Linked DNA regions of Ovis aries. The protein of the gene in region 1 interacts with the protein of each later gene in a pairwise test. Links are inferred from orthologs where the notes say so. Each region holds a gene or a part of one and is shown in the gene's direction. Other genes may lie near its edges. The genes, in order: glutathione S-transferase A4 and C3H2orf50.

Region 1 (7,152 bases):
ATATCTGCTAATACTACTAATATTTTGTATATCTGCTAATCCCAAATTCCTAATGTGTCCCTCCTGCACCCTCTTCCTCCACGCTGGTAACTATAAGCTTGTGTACTGTGTCTGAAAGTCTGTTTCTATTTTATAAACAGGTTCATTTGTGGCGTTTTTTTTCAAGATTTCACATATAAATGATGTCATATGATATTTTTCTTTGACTTACTTCATTTAGTATGTTAATCTCTAGGTCCATCCATGTTGCTTGGAAAGGCTTGTTTTTCTTTAATGTACATTCCTGGTCTCTCCGAGCTACTGGAGGTGAATCTTTGAGGGATGGGCCTGGGGTCTGGCACATACACACGGTTTCTCATGTGCTTTATACATGATCAGGGTCATAAAAGTGTGAGAGCAGTGGTGCAGTAGAAACACCTTGGCCTCACAGCTGACCGGCTGGGCGTTTGGACAAACGCCCAGAACGTTCTTACCCTGAGGCTACTGCTTCCTGGGCCCCAGATGGAGTGCCTCTAGGGGCACCAAGGCCCTCTCCTCACACAGGAGGGCTGGGAATAGGAGAAGCCATGCCTTCACCCCGTCATCTTGATGCCCATCTGGTCGACTAGGTGAAGTAGAGGAAAGAATGGCCAGGTCTGTGCTACGCCTCTGTCCTTCCTGGGATGACATGGGGTGAGGGGCGGCGCAGGGCGCAGGCTCGACTGGGAACCACCCATGGACTTGGGGCCTCGGTGGGCATGAGAAGGACATCAGTATATTCGAGCGAGCTGTATATGTCACAAGAAAAGGGACTTTCCAGTGTTTCTTTTCCTCCCAAACTTTTAGTTTGGAAACTTTAAAACCTACAGAAAAGCTGTAATAGTAAAATGGATACCTTTCAACTAAACTCACCAGGTGCTAACATTTTGCTTTTTGCCTCCTTCCTTCTTATGTCTCTGCTTTTTTAATTCTTATTCATTTGAAAGTAAGTTGCAGACATCAGCGTGTGTCTTCCTGTTAAGAAAAAAATAAAATTGTCCCCATAACTGTAATAACATTGTCACAACTAAGGAAATAACATCAGTTTTACAACATCTTATATATAATCCAAATTCAGAAGTTGCCTCTTGTGCCGCAAATGTCTATATAACTGTTAAATGTATCTCTTTAGTAGTTATAACTACCACTCCTCCATCCAAGATCTAATCAAGATTTAGACACTTGGTGGTTATGTCTCTAGTCGCTTTTCATCTAGAACAGAATCTACATTTTGTTCTTTTCTTTCATACTTGTCACTTAACAGAGAAGGAATGTGTGAAGGAGGGATTGAATCTCTTGCATGAATTTCTGCCAAGAGAAATAAAGACTCAGTAATGTGACTTGGAGGCCAAATGGCCTGGAGAATTTTCAGAGGCGGTTTACCTGGCTACAGTCGAATCCCTTGTAAATAAAGATTTGCCCTTGAGAGCAGGGCTCATGCTTTCAGTCGGGAAGTGGATGGATATCTAGGAAGTGGGAGCCAGACAAGTGATGAAGACCACGGAGCGGGAGCCGCAAAGGCAGAAAGTCTGTCCCCCCAACTGGCTTCCAAACCTGCCCATCCTGGAGGAGCTCGAAAACAACAGTTCTGTAGGTTGGAAAAGAGTGCAGACCATTTGTATACTGCAGAGTGTCGAACGTTCTGGATACGCCCCTGTTTCACCTTGCAGCTCCGTCCAGGTTGAATTGGTTGGGATGCTGTTTCTGCAGTGTCGCTGTGTCTTCACTGTCACAGCAGGGACTGTGAGATGCCTCAAGGTGGCCCCAGTGGGGAACTGAGCTTGACCACTTGGGTAGGTGGGTGCACACATCTGCAGAGACATTTTTTCTTGGTCATAATAAGTAACCTGCGGGATGATGCTTTGTGTGAATATTCTATGCCCAATGACCCAACGATTTCAGCATCTTGATCCTTATCAGAGTCAGTTATTACATTATAGGGTGAAAATTGGTGATTTTCTAATTTTATTGTTAATTAGGAACAATTCTGCATTAATTAGTGCTAATTCTGGAAAAGAGAGCCTTCTTTCTTCCTTTTTTTGAATCATCATTTATGGACACAAGGATTTTTTTGGTTGATGATATTCTCATCTGTGCCTGGTATCACTTGAATTGTCCCAAATGTGGCTAGGGAAGCCCTCTTAGGTAGGGTCCCACGTGTCTTTGCCTTTGACATATATCTGTTAGTCTTTGAGTACTTCCTCACTTTTTGACATAACAGAATCAACTTTTACTCCTGGGAGCCCAAGGATATTTAGAAACCAAGATATGGGTACTGAGTATGTTCTCCTGTCTGTTTTTTGGGCAGTTTAACTTGGTATTTTCAGTCCTAAAACCGTAATGACATTTCCCTTCTTTTTTTTGGGGGGGTGTCTTTTTAAATTTAGTTCGATGAAGAATTTTTAGAAACAAAAGAACAGTTGCAGAAGTTGCAGGATGGTGAGTATAAAAATGTATTACTGTCGATAATGCTGATTTTTTTAAGAACTGATATTTAAGTGGAAGGACAAAGATCCAGCTGACACTAAACATCCGGAACAGTATCCTAAAACCAGACAAGCAAGAGGGAACATTGGCCAAAATTGCTAGAAAGTCACTTGATTTTCAGTAGTTCTATAAAAGCCAATCAAAGGGGGAGTAGTTCTTCCCTCTGTGCACTGGGCAGCCCTTCTCCATCTCTCTCTCCTCCCCGACCTTCCTCCACCTTTACCCCTCTTTCTTCCACTCCCTCATCCCTTCCCTCCTCAATTTCCACCTCCTACCTATTACCTGAGGCATCTGCTTGAAGTGTGCAGATAAAAGTCCCCGTTTACACTGGGCTGCTTTCTCAAGTAAGTACCAAACAGATGAGACAGCAGTGAAAGGCCTGCCTTTAACTCCTGGTCACACCCTGACCCCTGTAAGCAGCCTCCTTCCTTGCCATCAGCAGGGTCCTGAGGCCCAACTCAAGGATCCCTGGAGAGGGACCAGCTCGGCAGGGCTGTGATGTCTCCATCATGAGTGACACTGCGCATGTGCTGAGTATTCATCTGCCCTCAACCCGCCTCCAGCCCTCCAGGACTGGGCTGTGTGCTATACTTGTGACTGTTCCTGGGGTTTGCTGTAGGTAAAGTGTTTGAGACAGTCTTCTTGAAGAAAGTAAGGGGTGACTTTTTGACCAGTGACTGCATATTTGGCAGCAGCTGGGCTGTGGCAGTGGATGCCTATACGTTAGTATCAGTCGGTGTCTTGGGCTTCGTCATCAGACTGACAAAGTGACATAGTCATAGACATTCTACACGGATGGGTTGTTTTGTTCTGCTCTGGCCATTGCAGGAGCTGCCAGCCACATGTGACTCCTGAGCATTTGTGCCCATGGGGATGAAGGAAGTGACTTGTAGATATTTCATAAGTTTTAGGGCTTTGCTGGTGACTCAGTGGTTAAGACTCTGCACTTCCACTGCAGTGGGGCTTGGAATCAATCCCCACTCAGGGAACTAAGATTCTGCATGCCCCATGGCACAGGCACAGTCAAAAAAATATTTAAAATTTTTAATTGATGTAGAGTTCCCTGGTTGCTCAGTGGTTAGGATTCTAGGCTTTCACTGTTGTGGGCCCAGGTTCAATCCCTAATCAGAGGACTAAGATCCTGCAAGCTGCATGCCTCAGCCACACACAAAAAATAAATAAAAAGTTCAATTTAAATTTAGGCTTAACTATACGCATGTCACTACTGGCTACTGTATTGGCCAGCACAGCTCTGTAAAGAGATGTCTTCACTGTGTTACCCCTCACCCTTTACATTGAGACTAAGTGTTTTTCTTGGGGTGAAAATTGAAAGCTTTATGTCCATGCTAGTTTTAAGTCTTGTTTTATGGCTAAATCAGCACCCCTGAATGAAGTTGGGGGAGCTTTACACTATTTCTTAAGGCTGTGGCCCCATTTAGGAGAGCATTTTTCGAGGGATGGGGGAAAGGGGAGAGAGCACTTCTAACTCCGGGCTTCTGTTCCCAGGTAACCACCTGCTGTTTCAGCAAGTGCCAATGGTTGAAATTGACGGGATGAAGTTGGTGCAGACCCGGAGCATCCTCCACTACATCGCAGACAAGCACCATCTCTTCGGCAAAGACCTCAAGGAGAGAACCCTGTACTGTGGCTCCTCCGGAGTGTTCTCAATTGTACCTCTACCAATGCTTAGCTCATTAGCCATCCTCCACAGCCCCCTGGTCCACCGCATGGCCTATATCGTTAGTGCGAACAGGGAACAAACCTCCAGAAAGGTCATCAAGACCACTTGGAAAGTCAGTACAGAGAGTCTGAGTAAAATGAGAGCAAAGGATTGAGTTCGGATATTAGAAATTGTGTCTGGGGTGTGGTGCAGGTTTCAACATCCTTAAATGCTTTGATATTATGGTTTTTTTTTACCATTCTTGCAAATCTAGTATCACTGAGTGTTAGGAATCGGAAGCTGTTGTGACATTCAAGGCCCAGAATACTGCGCACTGGCTTATAATTTGAACTCAGAGCCTGGTCTTTGTACCTCCTGGATCATGCCCCTGGGCAAAGTGTTAGGCTCCAGTGTCCTGATGGGGTTGCTAATAGTATATTCCTCATAATGCTGTAGGATTCAGTGAAATGTTAGATGTAGGGTATTTAGCACCACTCCTCGTTCACACCGAGTATTCTGTAAATGGTACCCACTATTTTTACAAATGTGAAGTTGTATACATCCTGAGCATGGGTGCTGGAGTGAGGGGCCAGGAGAAAGGACATCCATAACTCTGGTACTTCAAGATTTGTGATGGGTTTCTCTGAAGAAGTTTTCTGATTTATAACTAGAGTTGACTTTGCATCTTTGCTGTTAAGGGACAGGTGGAGATGAATGTTTCTTGATACTTAAGTAGCCCGAGCTGTAAGAGCAAAGCACTCTGGATGTTTAGCTGTGGGAGCCAATGAGGGGCCACTGAGAAAATGCTTTTTGTGTGTGTTTTGAAGGATTGACATGTATGTGGAGGGGACCCTGGATCTTCTGGAACTGCTTATCATGCATCCTTTCCTCAAACCGGACGATCAGCAAAAGGAAGTGGCTAATATGGCCCAGAAGGCTATAATTAGATACTTTCCTGTGTTTGAAAAGGTAGGTGACAGCGAAGCCTGTGAAGACAGCATCACTAGACCACAAAACACCCCTTTTCTGCTCAGGCAGAGTAAAAGCTGAGCCCTGCTAGACCAGCCTCCTGGGTTCCAAAGAGCTGACAGTTGCATCAGCACAAAGCCAGCATGTCCTGGAGCCTCCCCAACTCTTCCAGAGTCTTCCATGCTCTCTGGCAAAGATGCAGGCTCACCCCTGTGTGCACTGTCATTGCTTGCCTTTGCCAGGGGCCACCCTGTACAGGACACGCAGAAACCGGCTCCTTCATCCCTTCTTTCGTTCCATCCTACTTGGTAGTTGCATATGAAGAGAAGAACCGTGGCTGTCTTATTTCTCTTCCCTTTTGTTCTCTTTTGTTATCTTCCTTGTCTTATTTCTGTTTTTCTGAGCTTCACCTCCTCCTCTCTTTTCCTCAATGGAGAAGGATTATTTTAAATGCCTCAGTTAAAAAACAAGAGCACGTGAAAGCCGGGAATTGGCAGATTTCCTCTGACCATTGACGTGGAAGTAGATAAGAAGGAAGAGAGGTACTTTCTGAGCGTTTCTGTCCTTGGTTTCATGGTCTCTTGCCTGCAGGAGCTTTGTGAATGTAAATATGATGATGCAGAAATGGGCTGTGGTGAGGGAGGAACAGGTGTCTCGGATAAAGGCACTGCCAGCTTCTGTCTCCCTGTGAGTCAGACTACGTCAGAACTCTGCCAAACATACGAGCTAAAAGTTATTACTTTCTTATTTATTTAGTTATTTATGGCTGCACTGGGTATTTGTGGCTGCACACCAGCTTTCTTGGGTTGCGGTGAATGAGGGCTACTCTCTAGGTGTAGCATGGGGGCTTATCATCATGGTGGTTTCTCACGTTGCCGAGCAGGAGCTCTAGGGTGCGTGGGCTTCAGCAGTTGAGACACGAGGGCTCAGTTGCTCCGCAGCATGTGGAAACTTCCCAAACCAGGGATCAAACTCGTGTCCCCTTCATTAACAGGCAGATTCTTACCCACTGGTCCTGTTACCTTCTTTTTACACGTAATGAAATAGAAACACAGAGAGACTGGCATGCCTAAGGTGGGAGCCGGGACTGGAACTCTGGCCTCTGACTACAGTTCCAGACTCTCTGTCTTTCTCCAGTCTGGCTCCAGTCACTCTGTTTGATTTGGAATCATCTTAGAGTCCCTCTCTCTCTCTCATACGCACACAGGCATGCACATACACATATCTGCAAAGGGGCTCTCCCCTAGTCTCCCCCTGTTCCTTGCTTCTTTCTAATTGCCATCTATTCCTATGAATCTCTGCACCTAACCCTCAGTATGGGAGTCAGGATAAATTCTCATTCTTTTAATTTTCTTGGTCTTGAAAGTGAAGTGAAAATGTTAGTCGCTCCATCGTGTTTGACTCTTAGCAACTCCACAGACTAGCCTCTGTCCATGGGATTCTCCAGACAAGAATACCGGAGTAGGCAGCCATTCCCTTCTCCAGGGGATCTTAGAAGATGTTAAAGGAAGCCTGCTTTTTTTATTTACTATTGTGTCTAGTTTACGACTGTGAGTCCTGACAGTCGTAGAAACACAGAACTGGGAAATGAGATTAGACTCCTTGGACAGGACCAGTGGCTTACTTCTTACATCCTTCCCACCATCTCCTGAATGCGTGAGGACTAATTCTTTTCTGTAGACACGTTAACAGCTGTATCCTTTTAAAGCACCAGATGCTAAATCCAGAATTAATACTTCCTTCAGCTTTTCAGGGTCTCATTCTGTTATAAAGTAGAGACCTATGGATGCTGTCATTTCTACACCGTTTTTTTGCTGATTCTCTCTTAGGGAACTTCCTCTTAATTGATGTTATTTGTAAAAAGATAAAAGAAAAAGGCCATGGTTTCAGCTTTTCTCAGATGCTGCACTGATTCCATAGCTATATTAGTTTCCCCATGTCGACTATTGTAACCGATATAAAACATTTATACCCTGCAGGTTTTACGGGGTCATGGACAAAGGTTTCTTGTTGGTAAT
Region 2 (7,252 bases), on another chromosome or scaffold:
AGTGAATCTGGACACTTTTTCCAGATCAGTGATTGCGGAAAGAAATGTGTTCAAGCTAGACTGGCAGGTGCAGTCTCTTTTTCCCACCAGTATTTTATAATGGAGATGTCCAAATACACAGAAACGTCAGAAGAATGGTACAGTGAATACCCATCTACCATCCCCTAGATTTTATAAGGAACATCCTATTGTGTATGCTTGTCACATATATACTCATCTCTCTACTATCAGTCTGAAATAGTTTCTCAGTCAGTTCAGTCACTCAGTCATGTCTGACTTTTGCGACCCCATGGACTGCAGCACGTCAGACTTCCCTGTCCATCACCAACTCCCGGAGTTTACTCAAACTCATGTCCATTGAGACGGTGATGCCATCTAACCATCTCATCCTCTGTCGTCCCCTTCTCCCACCTTCAATCTTTGCCAGCATCAGGGTCTTTTCAAATGAGTCAGCTCTTCGCAACAGGTGGCCAAAGGATTGGAGTTTCAGCTTCAGCAACAGTCCTTTCAATGAATATTCAGGATTGATTTCCTTTAGGACTGATTTAGAAAATAATTTCTAAATACATTTTAATTTTTAAAAACCAGTCCACATGGAAACATTCAGCGTCTACATACATTGGATGCTCGGCCATCCAGGATTGCCGTGGCTGGCCTTTTTGGTCCTGTCCCTTATCTCCGGAGCAGGTGACCAGGAAACCTGGGCCAGGGTATCTGAGCAGACTGCAAGGCTGTTCCAGGCTACTCTGTGCCACCGGCTGCAGTCGGCCTTGTGCGTGGTGTTGCAGCAGCAGGCACTGGGCTCTGTGAACACACTGATGAGACCCCTTCCAGAGGCTGAAGGAGATCAAAGCTGCCACTTCTTGGGCACTGCAGGGACCTGTCCTGGCTCTGCTTGCGGCCACAAACACCTAAGAGAGAGCGACAGCCAGGGAACCCTGCTTCTGAGCCCTGAGGCCTCCCAGTTACCAATGGCCAGCAGTTCTCATCCTGGCTCTGGAGAGACAGAGGCCCAGTCCCGCAGCCCCAGGTTTTAGACAGACGTCCCAGCAGGTCACACTCACTCAGCCCCTTCCTTAGACAAGTGCCGGCAGCTCTCAGCAGTCTGGCAGCTCTCACCCCGTCTCCTCCCTCCAGCCCTCAGCCAAGGCCAGCGGGGGCTTCAGCACCTCCTCTCACCTGGACCACGGCCACGTCCCCTCACCTGCGTGTCCTTCCCTGGTCTTCTTTGCCCTGTGGCTCAAGGGCAGGAATGCTCCCTTGTGCACAAGCTCCGTGCACAAGCTCCCCACATAGCTCCAAACAGCCCAGGGCTTGGACCCCTCCCTGCAACCCAATGACCGAGCTCAAATACCTGTTCTCTCGTGTGTCCAAGCTTTTGCACTCAATCAGTCAGTAGCTCAGTCGTGTGTCCAAGTCTTTACAACCCCAGGGACCGTAGCCCACCGGGCTCCTCCATTCATGGGATTCTCCAGGCAAGAATACTGGAGTGGGTTGCCATTTCCTCCTCCAGGGCTCTTCCCCAGCCAAGGATAGAAGCCGAGTCTCTTGCATCTCCTGCACTGGCAGGCAGGTTCTTCACCCACTGAGCCACCTGGCAAGCTTTCGCATTTGCCCCAGTTTTTCGACCTGGAAATGCTAGGCACCCATAAGACCCAAGTCCTTGGGGCCTCCTTTATGAAAACTGAATCCAAAAGATGCTCCCAGGGTGGGCAAACAGCTGGTGTGTTGGCTACACCTGTGCGAACACCCTGGGGTGCCTTGTGCACCGTCCACATAGCAGGACTTGGCGTGTGTGTGCACGTGTGTTCACGTGTGTATGTGTGTAGCCATCTGCTAGTGTGTCTGCTTCCCAGCCTTGCAGAGGCAGGAGCACCATGCCCAACGGGTCATCCCACAGATCCATGACTTTGCCAACACACACGGGGGGTAAGAAGGAGTCAAGAGCCCGGGAAGTGCAACGGGCCGGGGACACAAACCAAAGGGGAAGATATCTGAGGATGCCAGCTGAGCAGAGCAGGAGGGGCCTGGGGCCACAAGGGAACTGGGCTGTGTGGGTCAGAGCAGAAACAGAGCCAAAGGTTCAGAACAGGAATCCCTACCCTGGGGGCTCTCACTGTTTCCTTCTGAGGATCTGAACTCAAGGCCCGGCTACAATTGGCACCTGAGTGGCCCTGGGCAGCTACTTATCGTGCTGGTGAGGGCCTCCATTTCCTCACCTGTACAGTGGGCTTGGAGATGCCTGCCTTGCATGACTAGGGGAGTCAAGCAAGATCAAGGGCAGCACTTTGCAAACCCTCCAGTTCTCTGCAGAAGAGCAGGTGTTAACTGTGCAGCATCACTGATCTTCCCTCGCCTGGCCTGTACGCAAAGCGCCACACTCTCATTCACAGAGAACTGCCCATCCACCTTCTCCTGTGAGCCCCACGGCACCCACCTGGGGCAGATTCCCACCCATGTCTCTTCTTACTGCTTCTCTCCCCCAGGCTCTACTGAGGTCTCCAGCCAGGGGGGCAGAGGGGCAGAGCTGAGGGCAGCCGAGCTGGCTTGGCTCAGACCAGGAACTCTCTCCACCCAAGCCTGGGGCTCAGATGTCTCTCTCTCTCTCTCTCTCTCTCTCTCTCTCTCTCTCTCTCTCTCTCTCTCACACACACACACACACACACACACATAGACACACAAGGCCCTCCCCTCCTTAGCACACTAGGGAGCTGCCCGTTCCCAGGGCAGCAGTCAACACAGACAGAAGCTCAGACACAACTGGGCTCCAATGCTCTCTGCAGCCTGGAGGGCCTGGTCCCCATCGGCCACTCTGAGCTCAGGATCTGGGGGGCCAAAGAGAACCTCTGCACAGCTCTCCTGGTGTAAATGCGGGAAAGCTCTCTGAGCTCAGGCAAGAGTCTCTCTCTCTCTCTCTCTCTCACACACACACACACACACACACACACACACACACACAGTCTTACACACTTGCACCCATGGGAAGCCGCCCCACTCCTGGGCTCCAGAGAACTACATCAGCTGAGTACCAACTGCGTTCAACCAGGCCTCCAGCCTCAGTCCCGTCCACTGCCCCAGGAGGCTCTGTGGTGGGCAGGGGTCCCGCGGGTGGCCCCCAGGCCCTGAAGGCCAAGCGGTCAGCCCCAGGGGCTGACGGTGTGCAGCAGGACCAGCTGTGGAGGGAGCTGCTGGAGGCCGAGAGGAGGAGCCAGCAGCGCTGGTGAGTGTCCTGCCCTGTCCTCTCCCCAGGGCCCCCCAGCCTAGCTCAGGGTCTAGGAAGCTTCCGGAGACAGCGAGACCTGGGAGTGAGAGGGAGTAAGCCAGGTGAAGGACACTGATAGAAAAGTGCTGGGCCAAGGAGCAAGAGCCTGGACCAGGGGAGGTGAGGGAGCCCAGCAGGGGCCCACAGAGTAGGGGCAGGTAGGCGGGAGGTGAGACCCCACCATGTGCATTCTGGAAGCCCGGCTTCCCTTTGCAATAATCCTTCCAGCTGGAGCTCAAAGGATGAACTGCGAGGGCGGGAGCGTGGGGAGGTCAGGAAGCCTGGGGAGGCGTGGGGTGGCAGCAGCCTGGGGAGGGGCGCCGGCCCTCTGACCCAGCAAAGGGCGCCCCTTCAGGCATCATTCAGTCCAGAAGTCCCTAAAAGAGCCGCCGCCGTGCCAGGCTGCCACAGGGGACAAGACGGGCCCAGGCCCATCTCCGCGGCGTCCTCACTCTCAGGACGAGGAGCCAGAAAGCAACAGAGACACAGGCAAGAGCAACATGCAGCTGGTGTCAGGAGGGGACCGACAGAGCAGACTGGCGTCTTGCTTTTCTGGGGGCTCACGGAGGCCTGTCTGGGGAGGTGGCATTCAGGTTGGGACCCGAGTATGAGAAGGGCCATGGAAGAGTTTGGTGTATTTTAAAAAGCCACAATATAAAGACCATGCGTGTGGCTGGGGTGGTCAGGAAGGGGACAAGAGCCTCAGTGGGGGGAGTAGGAGGAGGCAGCTGGGCAGTTTCTCAAGTCCCAATAACTTTTTTTCAAATGTCATGGGACACCCTGGAGGGTCTTAAGCAAGAGGCTGACTGGAGCTAGTTTACAGTTTATTTATTTATTTAGTTTACAGTTTAAATGACCAGTCTGGCTGCTGTTCCTGGTGAGGTGGAGGGGACAGGGCAAAGTGACATTTAAAGTGACAGCAGAGCTGCCATGGTGGCCTGAGCTGGGGACCGGTAGGAGAATTCAAGGGAGGTTTTAGTGGTAGAATTAAAATTGCTGATGGATGGACTAGAGTCGGAGAGATGGAGTGTGTGTGTGTGTTGGGGTACAGGGGACATTTACAAAGACAGGGTCCCCCTGGTGCCATGACTCTAGGTCATGGTGTTTGTGGTCTGTGCGGATTGGGGCAGAGAAACTTTTTTTTTCTTCTAAGTCTTGGAGAATTATTTGACTTTTTAAAAATAGATTAAAAATAAAACTGCCAGCACAGATAACACCATTCTTCACAGTATCACTTCCCCAGCACCACCCACCTTCCTCTGTCTCAAGCCCTGGAAGGTTACCAAGCTTTGTTAAGATGAAAGCCGGCTTTTCTTCTCAAAAGACTGGGAGACCAACCCCCCACCCCCACACACCCGACCCCGCCCCCACACACCCGACCCCGCCCCCGCACACCCGACCCCGCCCCCCGCACACCCGACCCCGCCCCCCGCCCATGCAACCCGACCCCCCCCCCCGCCCACGCACACCCGACCCCCTCCCCGCACACCCGACCCCACTCCCACACACACACCCCACCCCGCCCCCACACACCCGACCCCGCCCCCACACACCCGACCCCACCCCGGCAGACGCTTGGGGTGAAATGGCTTCCGGTTTCCTGATCCACCTGCCACACCCCCTGCAATCAGACTTTCCTCTCTATTGAAATGTTGATCTTGGAGTTTGTTCCACTTAATGATTGTAGTTCCTCCATGATGTAATGCACGCATTTGTGGCAGCAACTTATTCCCTTGAAATGGAGTGAAAGTGTTAGTCATGTAGTCGTGTCCGACTCTGAGACCCCATGGACTGTAGCCCATCAGGCTCCTCCGTCCATGGGATTCTCCAGGCAAGAATCCTGGAGTGGGTTGCCATTTCCTCCTCCGGGGGATCTTCCTGACTCAGGGATTGGACCCAGGCCTCCTGCATTGCAGGCAGATTCTTTACCATCTGAGTGACCCTGTTAAAATGAAGGTAAAAACGCCATAGGGAGGATCACACTGTCATCATGCTTTCCTTTCCAGGGCTCAGAACTGGAGTTTCCTGAAAGACTATGACCCCATGGTAAGACAGACCATGTTCCCATCTGAAATGCTTGCACTTGGAGTGTTTATTCATTCATCTGTTTATTGAGGACCTGCTGGGTGCTAGATGCTGCAATGGACAGAGATGAATAAAATGGAACCTTGTTTCCAGAAACTCTGGATTTGATGGGAAATAAAATACTTCTGTAGAGCATTTAGAAATGAATTTTCCCCAGTGTTCCTTGACTGCAGTGAGATGAACTCGCTGGAACTGGTAAGTACCAGCTGCTGACACGTTTCTCCCGGTCCGACGGTATCAGCAAGATAGAGTGACGTGAGGTTGGCCCCACATAGAGGATCAGTCTGAGTGAAAACACTTGTAAACAAATTCCCTGCATCTAATATCACCAGCCCCAATCCATCCTCCACGTGGCTACCAGAGTAACTTTTCTAAACTGCAAAACTCTCTCTCTCTCTCTCTCTCTCCCCCTGGTTTAAAATCCTTCCATAAATCTGCATTTTCCGGGACGGTTTGCAACACTTCCCATGATCCAGCCCTGCCTCCTCCCCCTCCTTGCTCACTCCACACTGACCGATGCACTCTCTTTTATGCTCTTCCCACTTAGCCTAATGGCCTCCTAATCATCCTTCAAGGCCCCACCCAAGAGGCCTCTTCCTGGCAAGCATGGCCAGATCACCATATTCTTCACTCCCCAGGACATCTCACCCATTCCTTGGGCACGTGCAATGAACAATCTTACCTGGCCATGGGCTTCCTCGGAGAAAGGACAAAGATGACTTCATTGCTGAACACATACCTCCAGCTAGTCTTTACCCCCCAGCACCCAGTAACTATTTCGCGCTCAGTTCACGTTAGAGCAATGAGCAAATGAAGAATGATCTGGCTGTTAAAAGCATGGTCAGAGAACCAAACTGCAAACTGAACAATGTAACCAGCCAACCAAGGTGGTGGCCGCACAAGCACGGCCCCTGTGGGTTTTAGGGATGGTGTGACATCTGTAAGACTAGCCTTGTGGGGCTGCTGCTGGTCCTTAGATGGAAGATTTAGCTCACAGGATCTGAATTCCAACCCTGAGCCCCTGATCCGGGCTCCCAGGCTGCAGGGTCTCTCCCTGCCCAGGGCTGTGTATCAGCAACCTGACCCCTGAGACCCACGCCCCGCCCAGAAAGCCCACACCGTGGGGCCACCTCCGCACAGACTTTCCCAGGTGAGAGCCAGGATCCTGTTTCTTAAAAACTGGTCCTGTCACTTCGATTTGACACAGAGCAGCACAAAGTTAACCATAAACAAGGACAGGGAAGGCTTATCAGATTAGTCATAATCCAGACATTTACTCAACACATCCTCAGTTTACAGAAGGCACCAGGTAGCATGTTCAGGGCAGCACCCCTCCTTAAGACCCCCCTTCAAACTGGAAACAAGCCCAAATGCCCCCGTGGCAGAATAAAGTGACCTGTGGAGTATTCACACAAACACACCACAGAATACCGTGTAACATGGAGAACGAAGGAGCCGCAGCCACACACAGGAACACGGGGGATTCTCACATCACATAGTGAGAGAAAGGGGCTGGAGGGCAGAGACAGGATCCCTTTGCGGTAAAGTTCAGAACCAGGCAAGCCAGCTCCTGGTACTGGCTGGTTGAGACCAGGTCCCCTTGGAGGTGGAGACAGTGACTGAGGGTTAAATGTAGGCTTCTGAGGCAGATGGGGTTCTGTTTCCTGGTCGGGGGGCAGGGGGGAGTTGGGGGGCTGGATTGATCTGGGACTTGAGTACTTGTGTGTGTGTTGCCCAGGGGAAGGGGGGTCGTTTTCATCCGGTAACTGCTTCCAAGGTGATAAGGGGCGTCGTCCCTAAATTGGTGACACAACATAATTCTCCTAAAAGAAAAGGGGGGAATGAGAGGGTAACAGGCAGGAGGGCTAGGGGTCTCCAAAAGGAGGAAACAGACTACAAGCATCA

What was found.
Region 2: the proteins of glutathione S-transferase A4 (region 1) and C3H2orf50 interact in binary tests that used the Homo sapiens proteins (3 or more experiments, as listed by UniProt). The two-hybrid records come from large-scale screens. The link is inferred for Ovis aries from reciprocal best matches to the Homo sapiens genes GSTA4 and CIMIP5.

Annotation. Positions count from the first base shown.
Region 1 is NC_056073.1:24,882,305-24,889,456, reverse strand, and holds part of glutathione S-transferase A4, read left to right. Parts: intron 1-2,405; coding exon 2,406-2,457; intron 2,458-4,011; coding exon 4,012-4,144; intron 4,145-4,992; coding exon 4,993-5,134; intron 5,135-7,113; coding exon 7,114-7,152. UniProt on the Homo sapiens protein: Conjugation of reduced glutathione to a wide number of exogenous and endogenous hydrophobic electrophiles. This isozyme has a high catalytic efficiency with 4-hydroxyalkenals such as 4-hydroxynonenal (4-HNE).
Region 2 is NC_056056.1:20,144,326-20,151,577, forward strand, and holds the start of C3H2orf50 (uncharacterized protein C2orf50 homolog), read left to right. Parts: upstream 1-2,731; 5' UTR 2,732-2,978; coding exon 2,979-3,220; intron 3,221-5,268; coding exon 5,269-5,308; intron 5,309-6,601; exon of another isoform or gene 6,602-7,170; intron 7,171-7,252.